Macaca fascicularis: one gene and its partners. The protein of the gene in region 1 purifies or fractionates together with the protein of each later gene. This does not show direct contact. Links are inferred from orthologs where the notes say so. Each region holds a gene or a part of one and is shown on either strand. Other genes may lie near its edges.

Evidence for each region.
Region 2: the proteins of FBXL17 (region 1) and ZBTB18 purify together in Homo sapiens (co-immunoprecipitation; 3 studies listed by BioGRID and IntAct, with this or other methods). This does not show direct contact. The link is inferred for Macaca fascicularis from reciprocal best matches to the Homo sapiens genes FBXL17 and ZBTB18.
Region 3: the proteins of FBXL17 (region 1) and ZBTB10 purify together in Homo sapiens (affinity purification with western blotting; 3 studies listed by BioGRID and IntAct, with this or other methods). This does not show direct contact. The link is inferred for Macaca fascicularis from reciprocal best matches to the Homo sapiens genes FBXL17 and ZBTB10.
Region 4: the proteins of FBXL17 (region 1) and KLHL9 purify together in Homo sapiens (co-immunoprecipitation; 3 studies listed by BioGRID and IntAct, with this or other methods). This does not show direct contact. The link is inferred for Macaca fascicularis from reciprocal best matches to the Homo sapiens genes FBXL17 and KLHL9.
Region 5: the proteins of FBXL17 (region 1) and KBTBD7 purify together in Homo sapiens (co-immunoprecipitation; 3 studies listed by BioGRID and IntAct, counting the BioPlex papers as one, with this or other methods). This does not show direct contact. The link is inferred for Macaca fascicularis from reciprocal best matches to the Homo sapiens genes FBXL17 and KBTBD7.

Annotation. Positions count from the first base shown.
Region 1 is NC_088380.1:114,361,836-114,365,349, forward strand, and holds part of FBXL17 (F-box/LRR-repeat protein 17), read right to left. Parts: intron 1,294-3,514; coding exon 1,151-1,293; intron 1-1,150. UniProt on the Homo sapiens protein: Substrate-recognition component of the SCF(FBXL17) E3 ubiquitin ligase complex, a key component of a quality control pathway required to ensure functional dimerization of BTB domain-containing proteins (dimerization quality control, DQC).
Region 2 is NC_088375.1:5,152,147-5,156,433, forward strand, and holds the start of ZBTB18 (zinc finger and BTB domain-containing protein 18), read right to left. Parts: upstream 2,813-4,287; 5' UTR 2,664-2,812; coding exon 2,651-2,663; intron 310-2,650; coding exon 1-309.
Region 3 is NC_088382.1:90,293,290-90,296,803, forward strand, and holds part of ZBTB10 (zinc finger and BTB domain-containing protein 10), read left to right. Parts: intron 1-82; coding exon 83-255; intron 256-529; coding exon 530-835; 3' UTR 836-3,514. UniProt on the Homo sapiens protein: May be involved in transcriptional regulation.
Region 4 is NC_088389.1:77,609,245-77,613,528, reverse strand, and holds the start of KLHL9 (kelch-like protein 9), read right to left. Parts: upstream 2,807-4,284; 5' UTR 2,262-2,806; coding exon 408-2,261; 3' UTR 311-407; intron 1-310.
Region 5 is NC_088391.1:20,548,000-20,552,206, forward strand, and holds the start of KBTBD7 (kelch repeat and BTB domain-containing protein 7), read right to left. Parts: upstream 2,803-4,207; 5' UTR 2,491-2,802; coding exon 433-2,490; 3' UTR 1-432. UniProt on the Homo sapiens protein: As part of the CUL3(KBTBD6/7) E3 ubiquitin ligase complex functions as a substrate adapter for the RAC1 guanine exchange factor (GEF) TIAM1, mediating its 'Lys-48' ubiquitination and proteasomal degradation.

The DNA of each region.
Region 1 (3,514 bases):
TGAAGTCTTGCCAGAGTATCCCTGGGCCACTGACTGGTCTTTCTGAGCCTCCATTTTCTCCACTTCACAATGCAAATAACTATTTCTTAGACTTGTTATAGGAAAAACATGGAATAAATAAAGAAGAAAACATCTGTGGAGTGCCTGGTGTCTAGCATAGGTTTTTTTTTTTTTTTTTGGTTTTTTGTTTGTTCGTTTGGGACTCGGTCTTGCTCTGTCACCCAGGCTGGGGTGGTGTGGCGCAATCACGGCTCACTGCAACCTCGGCCTCTTGAGCTCAGGGATCCTCCCACCTTAGCTTCCCTAGTAGCTGGGACTACAGGTGTGTGGCATGATGCCTGGCTAATTTTTTTTTTTTTTTTTTTTTTTTTTTTTGGTAGAGACAGAGTGTTTTGCCTTGTTGCCCAGGCTGGTCTCAAACTCCTGGGCTCAAGTGATCCTTCTGCCTTGGCTTCCCAATATGCTGGGATTACAGGTGTCAGTATAGATTTTTATTATCTGTTTTCTCAGTCTTCAAAGGGTCCCACATTAAATGCTGCACCATTTCCTAAACTCATGCTCACATCGCTGGTCAGCTCCACAGGCCTTCCACCAGGACCTCTGGAATCACTTCTTATCACGTGCTAGGAGTGGCATCTGATGTATGGGGAGATGCAAATTCCCACATACCCCCTCACTGGCCCTTTCTTGTTCCCGAGTGGCCAGAATACATAGATGTTCAGTAGCAAAATTACACACTTGTGAAAAACCAATTTGGCACTGTTCTTTCCACCTTTACTGTTGCTGGAAACTTGAAACACAGAATATAATTTTACGGTTAGACCCTGAAAATTGCAGTTTGTCATGTAACCTTTTAAATTTTGGTCCATGGACTTATAAATAGGATGCCAAACTCTAAGTTGACTCTATATATATGATTACTTTTTCTTTCTGCTTAAGCACAGAATTATTAAGTGGGGAAATGCAAAGATAATCCCAGATTAGTTTACAAAAGCAGGCGAACAATGCATAGCTATAATTGTGTATATATATATAATGTATATATAATATAGAATATATGGGGGTGGGGATAGAGAAGGAGAGGATACGACATCAAGCTATTAACTATACTGATATGTAGAAAGCAAACAACTTGATAGTCAACTCTTACTTTATCACATCTCATCAGCCCCAAATATCTCAGAGACTTGCTGCTCTGTGCAATCAGGGTGGCTCCTTGGTCTGTAATTTCCTTACACCATCCAACATCCACAGTCTCTATTGTCATGCTGTACCGCCCAATGGCTATCAGTGCTGCAAGAAGGGACAGAGAGAAAGCATTAACGTTAGCAGTGTAAGGGAGCTCTATCTTACTATGACTATTCATCTCATTTCCTCACTAAATTTGTTCCTGAAATTTTGTGTGTAAATGAATGTTTTATAAACTAAATTAAATTTGAAATGCTTTACGAAAGCTTCCCTATGACAAATCCTTTTGCAAAGTGAATAATCATTCCATAATTTCCCTTTCATTGGACACAACCTTTTATCAGTTTTATTCATTACAAGGTTACCTGTGCTTTCAAACATGCAGCTCTGCAGAAGGAATACAATAAAATGAATTACAGATACAACGTTTAAGAAAACCCAAGTAATAATTTTACCCAAGATAACTTTAATTTTTTTTTTCAAGAAAAACCCATGTAAACACCGTTTTGAGGAGTGTTATACTGCATGTGAATGTCTTTACCAATTGGCATAATTTTTTCCATCTGCTCATGACCTATAAAATGTAAAAGTATAAAATATTTTTCACATTAGTACTTCTTGGGACTGTTAGGAATTAAGAGTACATCATACATACAGCTGATTTTAACTGGTGCCATGCTAGAGTTCAGTAAAGGGAATGCATTTGTTATGGTGAATTTCCTCATCCTATCAGAAGTCTTCCTTCTATTAACATATAAAATGAAGCCTGTCATCTGTAAACCATGAGAGTATCTGTAGTCTTCTTAGCTGTTTAGCATTGTACCACCACTAAAGTGCAGACTCTTATCCCACAATCTATGACGTGCACTACTAGTCACTGCAAAGCCCCACAGCCCATTACCCCATCAGAGTGACCAGTTGGTGAATGTGGCTCTTTTCTACCGACTTTGATAGATGTGCCCACCTCTATATTTATGGAGCAGAAAAACAAATTTCAATACTCCAGCACCAGTTTATGGTGCATTGGTTTGTGAATGAAAACCCTGAAAACAGTGCCACAAATATCAAAAAGAAAAGAGAAATGGTTTTCTGATAATTTCCTCCTTCTAAGATAGCATAAGTTGATTTCTGTGACAATAAAGGTGAATGATAGTTCCCAAAATGTGTTGACTAGATGGATAGAGTTAAGTACTCATGTTAACAAATGTTTACTCCTACAGCTCACAGAAGAGAATATTTGGAAAAGTCTTTCTTTGCTAATTACCTCAGTTTTTTTTTTTTTTTTTTTTTTTTTTTTTTTTTTTACTAGAAAACTCATGTCTGTACATTCCAGTAGGAAAGCACTCAAAGGAGCCAGATATTTAATGTTTATACAAACAGCAATCATGACCCCAGTATTTTCCAGTGAAAATACAATAGAGAGAATTTTTTTTTAAAGTTCTTTATGTACCAGTTTGTTAATGTTTTCATCTTTGTGCATGCTGTTTTGATATTTAAAGTTTTCCAAGGGATTTGGGGATTTGCCAACTACTAAAAGTTTGCAGAAATGGTCTGAATACTATCTTTGTGTAGAAGGAGCAACATCCCAGGTTAATTTTGGTGTCTCTGACCTAAGAAAATTGTTCTCTCTGGTACCATCATAACTTTCATTGCTTATGATATCCTGAAGATCTGCTAAGAAAAATGAAGTAGGGGATACATAAAATAAATCCCTTTTAATACAAAGTGCTCAAACTATAATTTCCAAAGATGACAAAGCACCACTTGCAGGATGGCCTGGGGTTGGTAGATTTTGTGAAGTTGTTTCATTGAGGTCTGAGGCTAGAACACGAAAGCCCTGTACTATCCAGAAAAGCCCTGACTGTTACAGCCTGCTTTATAAGCAGATAAAGCGTCAATAGCTATTGATTCTGGGTGGTAAAATTACTGATGTTTGGAGGCTTTTCTTCTGACTTAGCACTATTTACTGAAGTTAGAATGAAACTTTATTATTTCTTTTTTTTTTTTTTTTTTTGAGAGGGAGTCTCGCTCTGTTGCCCAGGCTGGAGTGCAGTGGCTGGATCTCGGCTCACTGCAAGCTCCGCCTCCCAGGTTCACGCCATTCTCCTGCCTCAGCCTCGCGAGTAGCTGGTACTACAGGCGCCCGCCACCGCGCCCGGCTAGTTTTTTGTATTTTTTAGTAGAGACGGGGTTTCACTGTGTTAGCCAGGATGAGAAACTTTATTATTTCTTAACTCATTCAATTATTTAATAACCACTTCATGAGCTCTAGAGCATTTTTGCCAACATTTATTGACTACACTCCATGTGCCAGGCCCTTGGCTAA
Region 2 (4,287 bases), on another chromosome or scaffold:
CTAGCACGTCTTCAATGGGCAAGTCTTTGAACTGGAGTTTCCCTTCATACATGAATTCAAGCAGGAGAGCGAAAGCGGGGGCTGTAACAATGTCGCTGTTCAGATGAACAATGTCTCTTTTGTCCAGCTGGTCCTTGTAAAAGAGGTGGAAATACATGCTGCATGAAGCCAGTACAGCGCGGTGCGCTCGGAACTGGGCATCTCCCACCAGAACAGTGCAGTCACAAAGAAAGCCCTGGTGCCTCTGCTCGCTCAGACACTGCAGCAAGTGTCTACTATGGTCTGGAAACTCCATACTGTCTTCATAACCTGGGGAGAGAGGAATTTCTCATTAGAGCCTGGTCAGGAACAACTTTTCAGTGCTCTAGTCCCCATATAAAAAAATTAATTCCGCCTTGGCCGCCGTGGTACATGTCCCTGAATTTCAATCAGGCTTATGACCCAGCACTACCAAATCACACGGACGAGACCTAAACGCGAGAAGGAAAACGTGCACTTTCTCAACTCCTTACCCCCGCCGGACAGCCTCCGACGCATCTCCATCTTCCCTGAACCCAAGCTTTCAAAGCCTTCCTTTAACTACAGTCTCTCACTAAGAATAAGAATTTAGATCTCTTTCAGAAGAAATTTAACTAACTCTACTTATCAAATTATGTCCTACAAAACCTACAAAATAGCTTTAATTTCAAAGGAAACAACTCATATAATAAACAAAGAAAGTCCCAAACATATCCTGGAACATACAAGAAAACTTGTTCAACCATCCTTTTCCTTTTATTACTTTTGCTACTTGACTGTACTTAGAAAGCACAGTTTAAACACACACACACATTTGGCTGATTCAAGAAAAAAAAAATGAAATTGCATAATTAGTCCAGAAATTAGCAAACAACTTACTTTTAAAGTCAGAGTGGTACAACAAAAGCCCTGTGTATAAAAACAGATGTTAATGCCTTCAGATTTGCAGGTACAGCACACATGTGCGAGATCAGGAGCTGCACCAGCAGATGGAAAAGATCATCTTTACTATGAACAAATCCAAAGATTTTTCAAAATGAACTGAGAAAAAAATTGTTATATTTCTTCGTAGAAACTGTACTTTTAGAATATTAGGAACCAGAGGGGCTTTATTTAACTCTGAAAATTCTCATCTAAACTTTGATCCATTGCAAGGCAAAATGAATTTCCTATTAAAATTAATTCTAACTTTTAAAAATAAAGGCATATAACGCTTAAATAAAACTCAAAAGCTTTACAGGTTCAACTGTTTTTTTTTTAAAGCCTTTTTAGAAAAAGAGAAACTTTTTCCCCCCCGGTTCTGCCTTACCTCAGCCAACAGAAAATACTTTGTTTCAATCTAATTTGATATAGTTTTGTTTTCCCACTAGCTTCTATTCTTGCAAATATTCATCATTGCCCTGGTTTTCTGATGAGGGAGAGTGAAATGGACGGAGGGGAGAGGCAAAGATGTACAAAGGGTCAGAATTCAACTGCAGTGGGTCAACTCCTGAAAAAGAAAGACCCGACTTCCCCTTTCCCGTGACCAGAAGCAAGGCTCCACACCACCCATCTCAGCAAGTGCATTTTGGGAATAGATACACTTAATTTAATATTCAGAAATTACTTCCCTCCTTCTTCTTCTTCTACACTTTGCCCAAGACAGACTAAAACTTTATCCTAACCCCAAATACATTCTGCAAGATGCCACTGCTAGAATAAACTAAGATTTACAATACAATCACTTTAAGTGCCCCACAGCTAACATCAATCCTAATCCTTGAGAAGGCTAAAAATAAAGATTGGAGGGCAGCTCACAAGGTAGCCGTGATCAAATTAGGAGGCTGAGAGGACAGAGAGGGACGAAGAAGGAAGCTTATAAACATCTGATCCAGCTGACTGTGGCCATATGGCAGCTGCTGCCCAGATAAAGAGATTAAGAATAGAGGAGTGCGATTACAGCTGTCTGGCCAATTCAGGCAGCTCAAATCTACAAGTTCTAAATTAGTCGCTAACACAAAAACTCCTGCAAATAATTATTGTTATGCTGAAATAAAAGATCTCTTAAATATATATTTGAAAGAGAAGTGAGGAAACCAGTCAAACTATTCTCCTGGGGACAAAAGTTTTTTTTTTCTTCTTCTTAAAAACCTTCAGTTTCAAAAGCACTACAGCTGTATGTTTCAGCAGTGCTGTTCAATGTTTTGAAGAATAAAGTTTCACAGTGGAATTAATTACACAACAATCTAGCTTCTTAACTAGAATAATCTTCTCATATAAGTTTGAATGCTGGATTCCAGACAGTTTAGTATTTCCCCACCACCACCATCCCAGTCAAATCTAAATAGCAGTGAACAACAAAAAAGCATTTTAATCCAACGTGATTTCCAAAAGCAGTATTTTAAAGCCTTTCTTAACATTTCAAAACTTGACATATTTCTGTGTATTAAAGTTATTTACTCGCTCAAGTAAAAGGGATAAAAAATTAAAACTAAACAAGCTCAAGACTTTCAACTCCAGTAAGATGTTCATTTAATACTCAATTTCATATATTATTCCTAAACTGGGTTAGAAAAGTAATGTGATTTTTAAAATTAAATAAACAAAACACCAAAACAGAAATATGCTCAATCTAATCTCTTGCTACTCCTACCTTTAGGACACATAAACCTGATTAAGTCCTTTCCTCTGAGTCCTGCTGGCTCCAGGTCTGTTACATCGGTGGAAAAAAAGCAGACTGAGAGAGACAGATGCAAAGTGGAGATGATGTTAGAGAGGAATGAGATACCTTCTCCACCACAGATCCGCACACACTAACTCCCTGTCTGTGTGTTAGAATAAAAGGCTGAGGGATGGCAGGCTGTCAGCTGCTCTGACATCATGTTCAGATGGAAATGCTACCTCCAGCTGTGCTCCTTTTAATGCCATATGCTACTCCTCTACACTCCTGCCACCAGCTTTTTCTTAGGAGAACTTTTCTCTTCTGTTAGTATAAACAAAATACTTCAAAGTCTTCCTTTTTTTCCAAACTTTCTAACAGAAGAAATTGAAAAACTCAGCATATGGAGTTCTACTGTATTTATGGAATAGCAACACTTCTGTCTTAAGTTGGTGGACTGGCTTACATACTGACAGCACACTCAAGCCACGGTGCTATTCAGGAAATCCAGATTCACTTTTATTTAACTCCAACGTTTAGCTTCTAAGGCAGTTTAGGGATATTTTTAAACCAACCCATTTGACATCTCCAGTCCCATTTCAACATTATTACCGCACTTTTTTTTTCTGCTGAGACAATGGTATACATGTCTCAAACGTTGGCAGACTTCTTCAGAACCATTACTTCGGACTGGTTCACCTTATTATTTCACTCTTATTTAATGACTTATCTACAACTACCTTCTCAGAAAAATTTCCTACACTGCCACAGTCAATGCAAATTTCAATTCTCAGTACCAACAAGCTGAAACTGCACTTTCTGAAATCCTGGAAAGTACTTCAGTTCAACAAGACCAATTAATAAACTGATACAACCTGCTACAGTCACTTAAAATGAATGCTGCACCTGCATATCTGATCTTTCTGCTCAGAAAAAGCAGAACCTTGCCTTCCCCTTGATCTGTGTCCCTTAACAATCTTTTTTGTGTGTGGGGGGGGTGTCACTCTGTCATGTTTAATGATCACAAGAAAATCTTTGTGTGGGGGGAAGCCAGGTCTAGTAAGTTTGAGAACTTTTCAGCCAGAGTTTGTGGGTCTTTTCTAAAAGCTGATGAAACTGTAACGCGACCCGGGCTGGGCTGACCGGTGCCGGGCAGGGTGCTGCGACGTCTCTGAATGTCAAATATATCTCCTCAGACTCTTGGGAGGGCGAGGGGTAGAAAAGGAACTGGGGCCTGAGGCGTCAGCGTCCCAGCCCTGGTGATAACCACTTCGTTCCCATTAGAAAGCCGTGGCGGAGAGTTAAATAGTAACAAAACCCGACGACTCTCCTGTCCTTCTCGCTTTCCCAAAGTCACAAACCTAACTTTCTCCAACTTCGCGGTGAGTGACATAATTATGAACGCTTAGTCCAGGAGACATCCTTGGGCGATCAATTTCTTTCCAGCCACACCACCTATTCTCCATAAATGCCCTCGCCCCATTCCAGTATATCAGACATTAATCACCCCATTTACCCAGTGGGGTGGGGGGTGAGTGACAGTTTAATGAGTCCCAAGCACCGCAATGGGCCAGCGACTCCCACTCCACAAATCAACCCCTTCACGTCTCGCTACCGCGGATCCATAGAGA
Region 3 (3,514 bases), on another chromosome or scaffold:
TCTCAGAGATAAGAAGTTTTGATAGCAAGTTTTCTGTTTAATGTATAATAAGCACTTTCTCTTTTTTTGTTAATTCTCATAGGTGAATCATCTCTAATCATGAACAAGTTAAAATGCCCTCATTGTAGCTATGTAGCCAAATACAGACGAACACTAAAAAGGCACTTGCTCATTCACACAGGAGTGAGATCATTTAGCTGTGATATTTGTGGAAAACTGTTTACTCGAAGAGAACATGTAAAAAGACATTCCCTGGTAAGTAACTTTAAATACAGCTGATCTTTGAGATAAACTGTATTTATGTCAGTGAAGTTTAAAGGGATTTAAACAGTTAATTGTGAATTTAAGGAAGATTGTCTCCTAAATTGCTTTAAACAAAGAGTTTGACTTTATGAACTGATAGTGAGCTTTTTACAGAGAAACAGTGGTATATTCACTCATTACTAAATGTGTGGTTTAATTTGAGTGGTTCAAATGCATTCTATTATATATAATATCCTTATATTGGATTTTTCCCCCCTTCAATTAGGTGCATAAAAAGGATAAAAAATACAAATGTATGGTGTGTAAGAAGATCTTCATGTTAGCAGCCAGTGTTGGAATAAGACATGGATCTCGACGTTATGGTGTTTGTGTAGACTGTGCAGATAAATCACAACCAGGAGGGCAAGAAGGTGTAGATCAGGGACAGGATACAGAATTCCCTCGGGATGAAGAATACGAGGAGAATGAAGTAGGAGAAGCTGATGAAGAGCTAGTTGATGATGGAGAAGATCAGAATGATCCCTCTCGATGGGATGAATCAGGAGAAGTTTGTATGTCTCTAGATGATTAACTGACCTACTATACTCCTCAAGGATGCTGCATTTGGACCTAATATGAATCGACAATTTGGATTGTTGAACTTGAAGGCTTGCAAAATATGGTACATGCTGGATAGTAGTTATGTTGCTGTGAAAACTGTAGGGTCAAAGCCTTATAGCAAAAAAAAATTTTTTTTTATATTTGCACAGGACTATACAGCAAACAACCATGTGGTTGGATTACATGGAGTCCCCACATATTCAGTCAGTTATCAAAGTAAAATATTTTCTATTTATAGGATATACAGTAACTATTTGGGTCCTATGAAAATAGTCCTTAAAGAGCTTACATTCATGTGCTACTTTAACATGAATGGAGAAAATCCATTTATGGAAGTACAGTGACAATTGACCCAATCACTCTGTCCATCAAACCACTCAGGCTAGTTTGTACTAGTAGAGTTTTGTTTCTATTTTTATTTTTATTAATTTTATTTTTTTTAATACAGATTTTCAGTGAGGGGCTTTTTCAACCCCATTGGTTCTATTTTCTTGTATTTTTCCATTTAATTTGCTTCATAACTTAAACCAAGTCTCTTCTAGTCTTAGGTATTATTTCTCAATTTTGTGCTGATGGGCATGTTTATAAGAACTGGAGAGGTAATTTATTGGAATGAACTAACTGACTTCCTCCATTCCCCCCTTCCTTTTTGACATGAATTTTACTACTTCACAAATGAAGAATGATGTTATGAAGTTACCGTGGCGAAGTTGACAAATACCACTAAAATGATTATGATTTAGAAGTAACTTTCTTCTGCTGCTCTAATCTGATAAATGGTTACTATATGATGTTTTCTGACATGGTATTCGGTTTTGGGTATCTGTTACTTTGGCACTATTCTTGTTTGCCTCTTTATTTTTGCCAGTGTACTATACCTCAGTCCTATTTGAAAGACCTAATTGAAAGAAAAATCATAGAAATAAGTAAAATGATTTGTTTTATAATTTATCCACCATGTCCAGTTTGGTTAGCTTGTTATGCAATATAAGTGAAATATCAGGTTTTTACCCATGTCCCTTTTATCATTAAAATTAACACAAAATGTGCATTCTCTTTTGTTTCATACTTAGCGGGATATTGATTGTTTTGAAATTATGATCAATACTTAATTTATTTTTTTCTGTTCCTTGAAGTCACTACACCTTGATACAGCCCTTCTAGTAGTCACCATGATTCAACAGTCTCAAAAATCTTACAAATAAAATTCTGAGAAGCTTTATTATTCTATAAACTAAATTCTTCAGGGTACAAAGGGTGACATTGAGGTGAAATTGTCAGATTTACTTAGCCTGGTGACATGAATTAGCTGATTGTGGAACTCTCAGCAGCATTTCACGTATTGTTAACATGTATGGCATTTATTAGCATATTGTATATTATATAAGATTGAGGGATGTCATATTTTCAGCTTTCTTTTAAATAAAAATTGAGTATATTTTCCTATTTTATATCAGGTAACTAAATTATGCTAGTTATGTGGAAAAAATTGCAAAGATGCTTTGACAGATATAATCCCTTTGGTGCTCCATCTGATCAAAGTTGGAAAGTTGATGTTTTTTAAGAGACAAGCTTTATCATTGTCTCTGATTTCAGTAGAATAATGGTTTATTGTTAGACAATGATGTTTCTGCTTGGATAAATCAAAGATAAATTACAGTTACATGGTTAGATGCATCTTTTGTCATCTATATTGTAGTTTCTACATAACTGTAAACCTGACAGATAAGAATAGTTTCAGTTTGATTTTTGTTTAAAACAGATGAGTACATCTTAATGTTCTAGACAAATGAGTAACATGTATTTCTGGTAGAAATTAGTTGGGCAAAGATACTATGAATGAAAAAGTATTTTAAACGTAAAATGTTCTTTGTGAATATGTAAGTATAGTATTAAGATTTCTTTCATCCCATTTATTCCCTTCCTTTAAATAAACTAGTTTACAATTGGTAGATCTGTCTATATATAAATATATATTAAAGAACAAAGATATATATCTAAAAATCACCTAAATCTGCTTTATTAGACTACAGTTCACTTATTGCATAGAAACTGGACTTTGGCTTTACATTCTTAATGTACTTTTACTTTTCCTCAAGATATGAACTTACTCTCTTGAAGCTGAATTTTCTTTTACTACTTAAATCATTTATGTATATCTGGTAAATTATGACCAAATTTTTGTTAGATTGCATACAGTAAATTGAAATACACACTTGGTACACTACGGGATTGTTGTGCTTTTGTTTGGTTTTAGTTGGAAATAAGGTTTGATGTAGATGGCTTGTTACTGTTAATTTAAAATATTCTATAATTGTCCATTTTATGTTGTGTTGTGACAGATTTGGCTATATTTTTAGTCAATTGAAATATGATACTTTAAAAGTTTGTTTTTAGGTAATCCAAAGGAAAAGTGTTTATACTCTTGAATATATTAGCCTCAGCCTATATAAAAATTTCTTTGAAGTAAACATTTTACCAGAAACAGAATTGACAGATTTTTCTACTTGCTGACTGCCTAACTTATTTTGTTTCATGATCTCGAGGGACTGCCTTTTCCCATCTAGATCTTTTTAAAAAATAGTTTTAGTACTAAGGTATACTACTGGACATTTCTATTTTTTTAAGTGTATTCTTTTTCTGACTTACA
Region 4 (4,284 bases), on another chromosome or scaffold:
TGAAAAGAGGGAGGTAACTAGTATTAATACTGGGCAACCTTTCGTTAATTTTAGGTTACAGTGACCTCCCTCTGACATTTTGGAGTCAAAGATGAAAACTCGACTTTGAAGCATAATGGACATAATTACACATTTACCACAGTCATCTACAATTTTATATAACATCACAAAAAGACATCTAAACATTTTTCTACATCTTTTTTTCTCATTTGTTAAAACAGCTAGCTATGTTAAATACATCTTCAGAATGCATTTGTTAGTCACTTGATAAACATACTAAAAGCCAAACAAGACGAATAACATCAATTACCTTTATATCTAATAACTGTACCAATCACTGTAAGAAGATACAACTGAAGAAGTATTAGATCACCCATGATGTACTGCAAAGGTGTTACACCTTAGACCTAAGAATGATCTGAAGGTGCTGAAAGAGGTGATTCTCTAGAAGGTGACCCAGGGTTTTCTTCAGGTGGAAAAACTGTGAGTGTACAAGCTCGAATGCCACCAAGTGACTCTGGAAGATCAAAAACTTTATGCCACTCATCTTTTTCTGGGTCATATTTCTGGACAATTTCTACCATACAACGATTATTCCAAGAATATCCACCAACAACGTAGATTTTATTTTCAAAGACGGCAACTCCAACATCACTTTGGCCTCTTAACATGGCGGCAATTGGGGTCCACTGGTCAAGGGTTGGTGAATAGTATTCACAGCTTAGAACATCATCATAATCACTTGTTCCTCTGAAGTGATTGCCGCCAATGACATAGAGCTTATCTCCAACCGTACACATGCAATGCAGACCTCTGACTGTAGTCATTGGAGCCTTTTGCATCCACTTATCTGTATCTGGGTCAAAACACATAAGCTCATTTTGGAAAGTGTCATGGGTAATTCCTCCTGAAATATACATTAAGCCTCCATATACTGTTCCAGCATGGCCATAGTGGGGTTCACTCATTTTTGCAACATAGCTCCACTCATTCATTCTTGGGTTGTAACATTCTACTGTGGCCAGTTCACCAGCTGCACTGCGCCCACCAACTGCATACAAATGTCCTTTGAGGGCACTCAAGTGAAAGAATGTACGCTTTTCATTTAATGATGCAACCTGCATCCATTTATTATACCGAGGATCAAATCTGAAAACTGTATCAACAGCAGTTTTTCCTTTTGTATCATAATTACTTTGACCACCAACTACATAAAGAAAGTTTCCAATGACAGCAATACCATGCTGGTAACGGGGAGCATCCATCGGGGCTAAAGATCTCCATTCTTGTGCCCTTTCATCATACATTCGTAATTCTTTACTGACAACCAGCTGCTGCCTCAAAACTCCTCCTAATGTAACCAAGTGAGTGGAGTCAGATCGAATGGCAGTTCTATCTGACTGCATCACTGGCTGCATATATGGCATCATTTGGTAATTGCTGGCTTCCAAAAGCAAATTCACGCAGGTATTGTCTGTTCTCATGAAATCTACTGTCTGCACGTAATTGATGAGATCCTGTGGTGTCATCAGTGGGAATCGAATATTCTTCATTAATTTTGCAGCATAATCCATCCGAGGGTCTTCCAACCTTAGCCAGCGACAGGCTGCCTTAAAGAGTTCGAGTTCGGTACAGTGCTTAAGACTATTACTGGAAAGCACAAAGGCAAGCCGTTCAAAAGGGAGTTTTAGAAACTCCCCAGTACTCAATAAAGCAGGAAAGTTCTTCAGGATGAAGTTATTAACATATTTATCCACTTCTATGAGATTGTAGGTGTTAGCAATTCGTCCAACCTCAACACAGTTATCTAAAGAGACTCCTGATATAAGAAATACTTTACAGAAATCCAAAACGGGTAATATTTGTAAAAAACTAGCAGCTTCAAGTGTGTCCTGAAGATTGTCCATATTAAGAGAAAGTTTTGCAGTATAAATAAAATCAATGATTTTCTTCAGACCAACCTTGTTCACCCCATGAAGCTTAATGCACATCAGATCTTGTTCTTTCATTCCACCTGTGAACATAGCTTTGAAATAATCACTAGCAGACGCCATCATAGCTCTGTGAACAGGGAAGATTTCATCTCCATCACCTGGTACCAGAGTCACATCACAAAGCAATCCTTCTATTCTAAGCTGATCAAAGCCTTGCAGTACCACCGAACTGTGTGTATTGCTGGTAAAAAAGCGTGTGGTTCCTGCCTTACAAGGCTGCAAATGGGCAGAGACGCCCATTTCGCCGTTACCAAGGGACACTTTCATGTGAAAGCTTTCCTCTTGCACAGAGATGCAAGCCGGAGAAAGAAGTTATAACCGGAATGTTTTACAGGCAACGAGGTGTCCACAAAGAACAGAAAGCTCGTTTCCTTATCAAGGGAAGGCAGCCACTGCGGCACCCCTCAGGCCACGCCAGTCAGTCATCCACTGAAAATCGCCCTGTAGCAGGACCACAAAGGGCTGTGGACCTCAAATCTGATTATTAGACAGATGATTCATCACCTGAAGGCGGTTAAATGACCCGGTTCACCTCGTCCGGCCTGCGCTGCCGCTCCTTCAGCAGTTCCGCTTCGGGCAACGAAGAGGCGCCGCCACGTACTGTGGCTCCACGGCCCGCTCGGCGGCGGGTCCGGGAACCTCAGCGAACGGCCCGCTGCGCCCTCCGCTGTACCTAGAGTGTCGCAGCGGCCACCGACCTGTCTTTGAGCAAGGACCTGGAACACAGGCCTGGGACTGGGCTTGGGCCTAGAATACCGGCCTAGCCCCGACGCCGAGCCGCTCCTTCCGGAAAAGCTTACTCCCAGGATCCCGCGGGGTGGGAGCGGCCGTAGCGGCTACTGCGGCTGCGCGGCCTCCAGAGCTCGTCAGTGGGCGGGCGTGTGGGGGTGGGGAAGGGGGAGGAAGTGTGCGGGAGGCGGGGAGGGCGGGGGTTGAGGAAGACGAGCTGTCTGGAGTGGGCGCGAGCCCGGCTCCTTAGATCTGCCTTGTATGTGGGACAAAATAGAACAGAATGTGTGCACGTATATTATGCTGCATGTTTGATGTAAGTTTTTCACATATCTGAGCTCTTACGTTCCCCAAATGCATACATTTTTTAAAACTTTGCAATTCCTAGTTTCTGTTTTTTTGAATAACAGTGAAACGCGGCTTTTGTATAAATTGAGAGGAAACCTGGATGCTTAATTTTTTTTTTCCTCTACAAAACAATAATTGTTATCCCACATTATGTAATAGATACCTTAGTTACAATTTTGGTTCGTATTTTCAAATTTGTTATAATTTCAAAGGCAAAATATTTGTCTCTACTAGATTGTTACTTTATTATATAAATGATACAGTCTAAATTTTTGGCTTGAAATGCCTTTGTTTTCCATAATTTTAAAAATGGCTACATAATTTTTCAATAACATACTATAGTTTCCTTTGCCCATTGTTTGTTCCTGAATATGTACCTTCTTATCCTCCATTGTTTTATAGAAAAACAATGGAGTAGTAAATTTACAGAATCTGGTAGCAAAATTTTAGCCCTGTTATGGATAATATTTAGTAAAATGCTGATCCAAGACAGTATTTCCAAAATATTATCATGAGCAATGTTTGTGCCTTTCCCTTCTGCTGACTTTTCCCTTTTTAAGTATTTTATTAATTTACATTTCTTTAATTAGTGGTAAATTTAAATTTTGACATACAAATCAATGTATACTTTGACACAGTTTCTTCCATTTTCCAAATTTTGAAGTTTATGTCTTTTAAGTCCTTCTAGTTCTTTAAGCGTGTGCAAAGTAAGAATAGTCATGTTTTTATTACACTCTCCTCATTTTTATGTAAAAGATAGCATACCATGTACACTGTTCTGCATTTTTCTTTTTTCACTTCAAGATCTTCCTGAATTACTATAGAGAGCTTATTTATATTTTTAAACAATTCTATTGTTGCCCTCGGAGTTGTTATAAGTTATTTAACCAGTGCCCGATTGATGGACAGTTCATCTGTTTTGAATGTTTTCTATTGTTTCCGATGGATGGCAGCAAAATTCAGAAGGCTTAGACTACCACTGACCTCCACAAGGTGCTCCAGCAGATTGTCAACCTATTCAACACAAGAGGTTGGTTGGAATGAAACTGGCCTGGAGAAATTATTCACTGAAATTTTGTCAGCATTGGGAAGTCCTGGAGCCCTACTTGTTGCATGAGTTAGGGGTGGAAGGGCTCTCTTGGGGCATGACAACTCCATAATGCTGTGAAGAGCTACTTCCAAGGAATCAGTCTCTATCTGGAAAAGAAAGAAT
Region 5 (4,207 bases), on another chromosome or scaffold:
CCTTCAAAACTCCACCAACAATTCCTAGTCCAGTTTTCTATTGTACAGATTAAAAAGTTAAATTCCTTGTGGCACTAACCAAAACTTAAAAATTAACAGAAGACTGAATTAATTAAAAAAAAAAAAAGCATACTAACTAATCAAAACAATCCACTGTGCAATGAATATTTGAACAATGAAAAAAACCTACCAAGCATCCCAGTCAATTACATAGTTCTTGCTTCCATATTTTAATTTTGGACTTTCAGGAAGGTATATTATTAAACAGGTCGATTTTGTGGACTGTTTAAACCTTGTAGTATTTCAAAATATTACCCTTTCTAAACCAAATCTGTGGTCCTGGTCAACTTTTTTTTTTTCAAGAAAAAGAAAGGATATGTGTTTAAAATACATTCCGTAGCAGTAGAAACATCTTAGTGTCTCAAAATCTATTTACAAAGAACCCTGCTGATCCTGTGCATTTCGCTGAGGTGCTACTTGCACCCAGACTTCATCATCTGAAAAAGAACTTGAACTTCCTGACTCAGAGTCCAGCTCACTGAATCCATCTAAGTCCCATTCAGTACTAGACTCACTCCGTGCATCATCTTCCTCAGTAATAAAACTCTGACCAGGTTCAAGGCAGGAAGGATAAACACGGGCACAAAGGCAAATAAAGCCAGAGTCAAACTGCAAAAGGCCTAACATAGTACCTATATTAATCCACTGATCTTCCCTAGTATCATACTCATACACTGTTACTCGGTTCTTTTTCCATTGTGGGGTTGTAGAAGTGATGAGAAGCAACTTTCGGTCATGATTGACAATCTGGTAGTTGTGGGTCTCTGAATCCAAAGGAATATTACTAATCCGCCTCCATTCTCCCCTAGCTGGGTTGTAGACCTTCATGACTGGGATGTCACAGATACAATAGATTTCATCATTGAAGACACATGCTTCCTGAAAGTCACTGCGTTTAAGAGAAGCACAGTTCAGCCACATATTGTGGCTAGGATCATAGCAGAGCATGCGCTTACTGTTGACAGCATAAAGATAGTTCTGAACCACTATGAGTTCAAAGGAATAGAAGGAATGAGGGACAGGAGCCACCAATGCCCACTGGTTTCTCTGAACACTGTAGCATTCCACTTCCTTCAACTTAACTCCAGTAGTAGGGTCTCGCCCCCCCAAAATGTAGATGTAGCCATTGAGATATGCCACATCCATGCCCTCACGACACAGCAAGCGATCTGCAAGTTGCTGCCAACTATTCTGAGCTGGTTTATACACCCAGAGGTCTTTCCTTGGCTGGGCAGCTAGATAGATGTCATGGTCTGGGGAGACACAGACAGCTGAGGAGGTAACAGTCTTAGTGTGAGCAAAGCTGGTCAAAGGTGATGGCATTGTGTAAATGTCCCCTGAGTAAGGGTCATAGCAGAGAAAGGGATCTCTCGGGTGTCCAAAGAAGATCACCATCTCCTTGGCACACATACCCAGTCTCTGGGGTGGATTTTCTGCTGCAGATACAAGAGAGTTGCTGCTGCTACTGCTGCTGCTGCTGCTGTTTGGCACTGGCACCAGAGACTTGTACAACAGGTCACCATAGCGCATCTGCAGGGCCCCTTCAATAACGTCCAGGCAGTACTTCTTCACGATGGGCTTGGTCAGCAGCCCTTCTAAGTAGTCCTGATCTTCTTCAGTGAAGTGCATCCAGCGCACGCACTTGAAGACTTCCGCAGCACTGGGACCCCGCTCCTTGGGAGCAGCCTCCAGCCACTGCACAGCTACATGGCATACAGTCCGCTCACTCTCTATGTCCAGACTATCCAAGCGCAGGACAGCCAGCAGCTGGGCCAGGGTCAGATCTGCTAGAGTCTCTTCCCGAATTGAACCCATTCGGCTGAGCTGCTTGAAGTTCTGAGCTATATAGGACTGGGCCTGAGATCGAAGCTTGTGATGGTCGAAGGCGTCTGCAAACTTGAGGATGGCGGTGCAGTTGGTCAGGTCAAGACGTCGGGCTAAGAAGGAGGCACAGGCTTCCCGCACATACTCCAGTTGCAGCATGTCGGAGGCTGCGTACAGGCGCTGCACATTGGCCTCGCTGAGAGAGACACGACCCGTGTAGCAGTAGTCGACCAACACCTCGAAGGACTCGGCGTCCACATCGTGCATGGTCACGCTGGCCTGCTGGCTCTCGTACATGCCACCTGTGAACATGCTCTTGAAGTAGGGACACGCAGCTGCTAGCACGTTGCGATTGCAGGAAAAGAGGCGACCCGTGCCAGGCCCGCTGCCAGGCGTCACCACCTCGATGGTCACATCACACAGCAGCCGCGCGTCGTAGAAAGACTTGAGCTGTGCCAGCAGGGCTGCAGAATGGGCCGTGTCCTTTAATTCCTCTGGACCCGTGAAAAAGGCCGAAACCGAGGGCTTGGAAATCCTCTTGGGCCGCCTCCCACCGCGGGGGCTGGCGAGGCGGCGAGAGCGCGGGGCGTCTTCCCGGGACTGCATGGTGGAGATGGCGACGGGCGCTGATAGCGAGAAAGGCTGCCGGACCCGGCTCTGGCTCCTCCTCAACCTTCCCTCGCTGACGCTAAGACAAGCCGCGTCCTGGAACAGACTGCGGCACGGGCCGCACTTCTGAATTCAGCCTTAGCCCGCGGTGAGGTCTCCCTTTATTGCGTAGACAGTGGCTGACTCACCCTCTCTCACTCCCGCGCCCTTTCTCCGCCTCCGCTCGCCCTCACAGGACCCGCTGGCTTGGAGCCGCGGAAGGCCCCACTGCCGCGCTGGCGATCCCGCTAGGCGCCCAGGAGAACTACCGCTTCCAGGTTGCCTTTCGCGCCCCGAGGCCTGCTGGGGCTCTCGGACGGCCGGGCGGGGACAGAGGGAAAGAAACCGCTTTGCATGTTGGGAGTAGTAGTTTGTGTAATATCGCGAGCTTTCCTTTCGCTGACTGCCCTAACAGTAGAAATTAATTCTGGATATGATGGTGAAGTGACGATGTCTCACTATTGTTGTCCAGGCTGGTCTTGAACTCCTGAGGGCTCAAATTATCCTCCTGCCTCTGCCTCTCAAAGTGCTGGGATTACAGGCGTGAGCCACCGGGCCCTGCCAGTATTTCATAGGGTTTTGTGTGATTGAATGATACGTTACATAGGATACTTAGATACATGTATTTTTTTGGTTAGAAGAACAATAAAGCGTTACCCCGTGCCTAGAATGTAGCCAATAATTGTTAGATTCTCTTTTATAATTTATGATAAATGAGGCACCCACTAATTTGAAACCAAAAAATTTTTAAAATTTTTAAAATTATTTTAAACCGCAAAATTTTACAAAGAACTTAGTTTTTAATTTTTATTCTTTTGAAAGATTTTGAAGGGCATTAACTATTTTCAATGTTAAATGGTACGTATTGGCCTTGTTTAATAAGGATGTCTTAGACGACTAGGTTGAGGTCCTAAAGAACGGTGTTAATAGATGGCCTCAAATATGCAAATCGGGCATATAAAAATAGATTATTTGCTACTCTCACTAACATTTCATCTCTGGGGAGCAGGAATATTTTCATTAAGCTCCAAATATGAGTGTTTTCAAGTCGTCTAATACAGTCTCTTTCACTGCCATTCCACATATCAATTAACAGATTCTGTAATTGCCTTTATTAAGGAGTTTTAGGGAGTATTTAACTCAAAATATTTCAAGAAACAGACTTTGTTCTGTACAAAAGCACGTGATTCTCAGAATTCAGCATTAGTACATGCCCTGACATTCCTTGAATTAACATACAGTATAGCCTATGCTTTACAAAAGTCTTTTATATTTGCATTGATCAACAGTTAAATCATCAAAATCAAGTATTAGAGATTTGAGGCAGGAAAATAGGGTCTGGAGGCAGGGAACATAAGGCCGATTCACACTTTAGCTATAACAAGAAATACCCTCTCCATAGGGTGTATGCCGAGTAAATGAGTTTGTAACTTTAATTCATTCTCTTCGTTTACATAGGGTATACACCAAGTAACCAGTGAATCCTCTAGAGGGTATTTAAACCTCCAGGAATTCTGTAACAGGGCCCTTGAGCCCTGTGCTGGGCCTGCGCCCACACTGGAGTGTACTTTCATTTTCAGTACATCTCTGATTTTGTTGTTTCATTCTTTCCTTGCTTTGTTTATGTGTTTCTTCCAATTCTTTGTCCAAAACGCCAAGAACCTGGACACCCTCC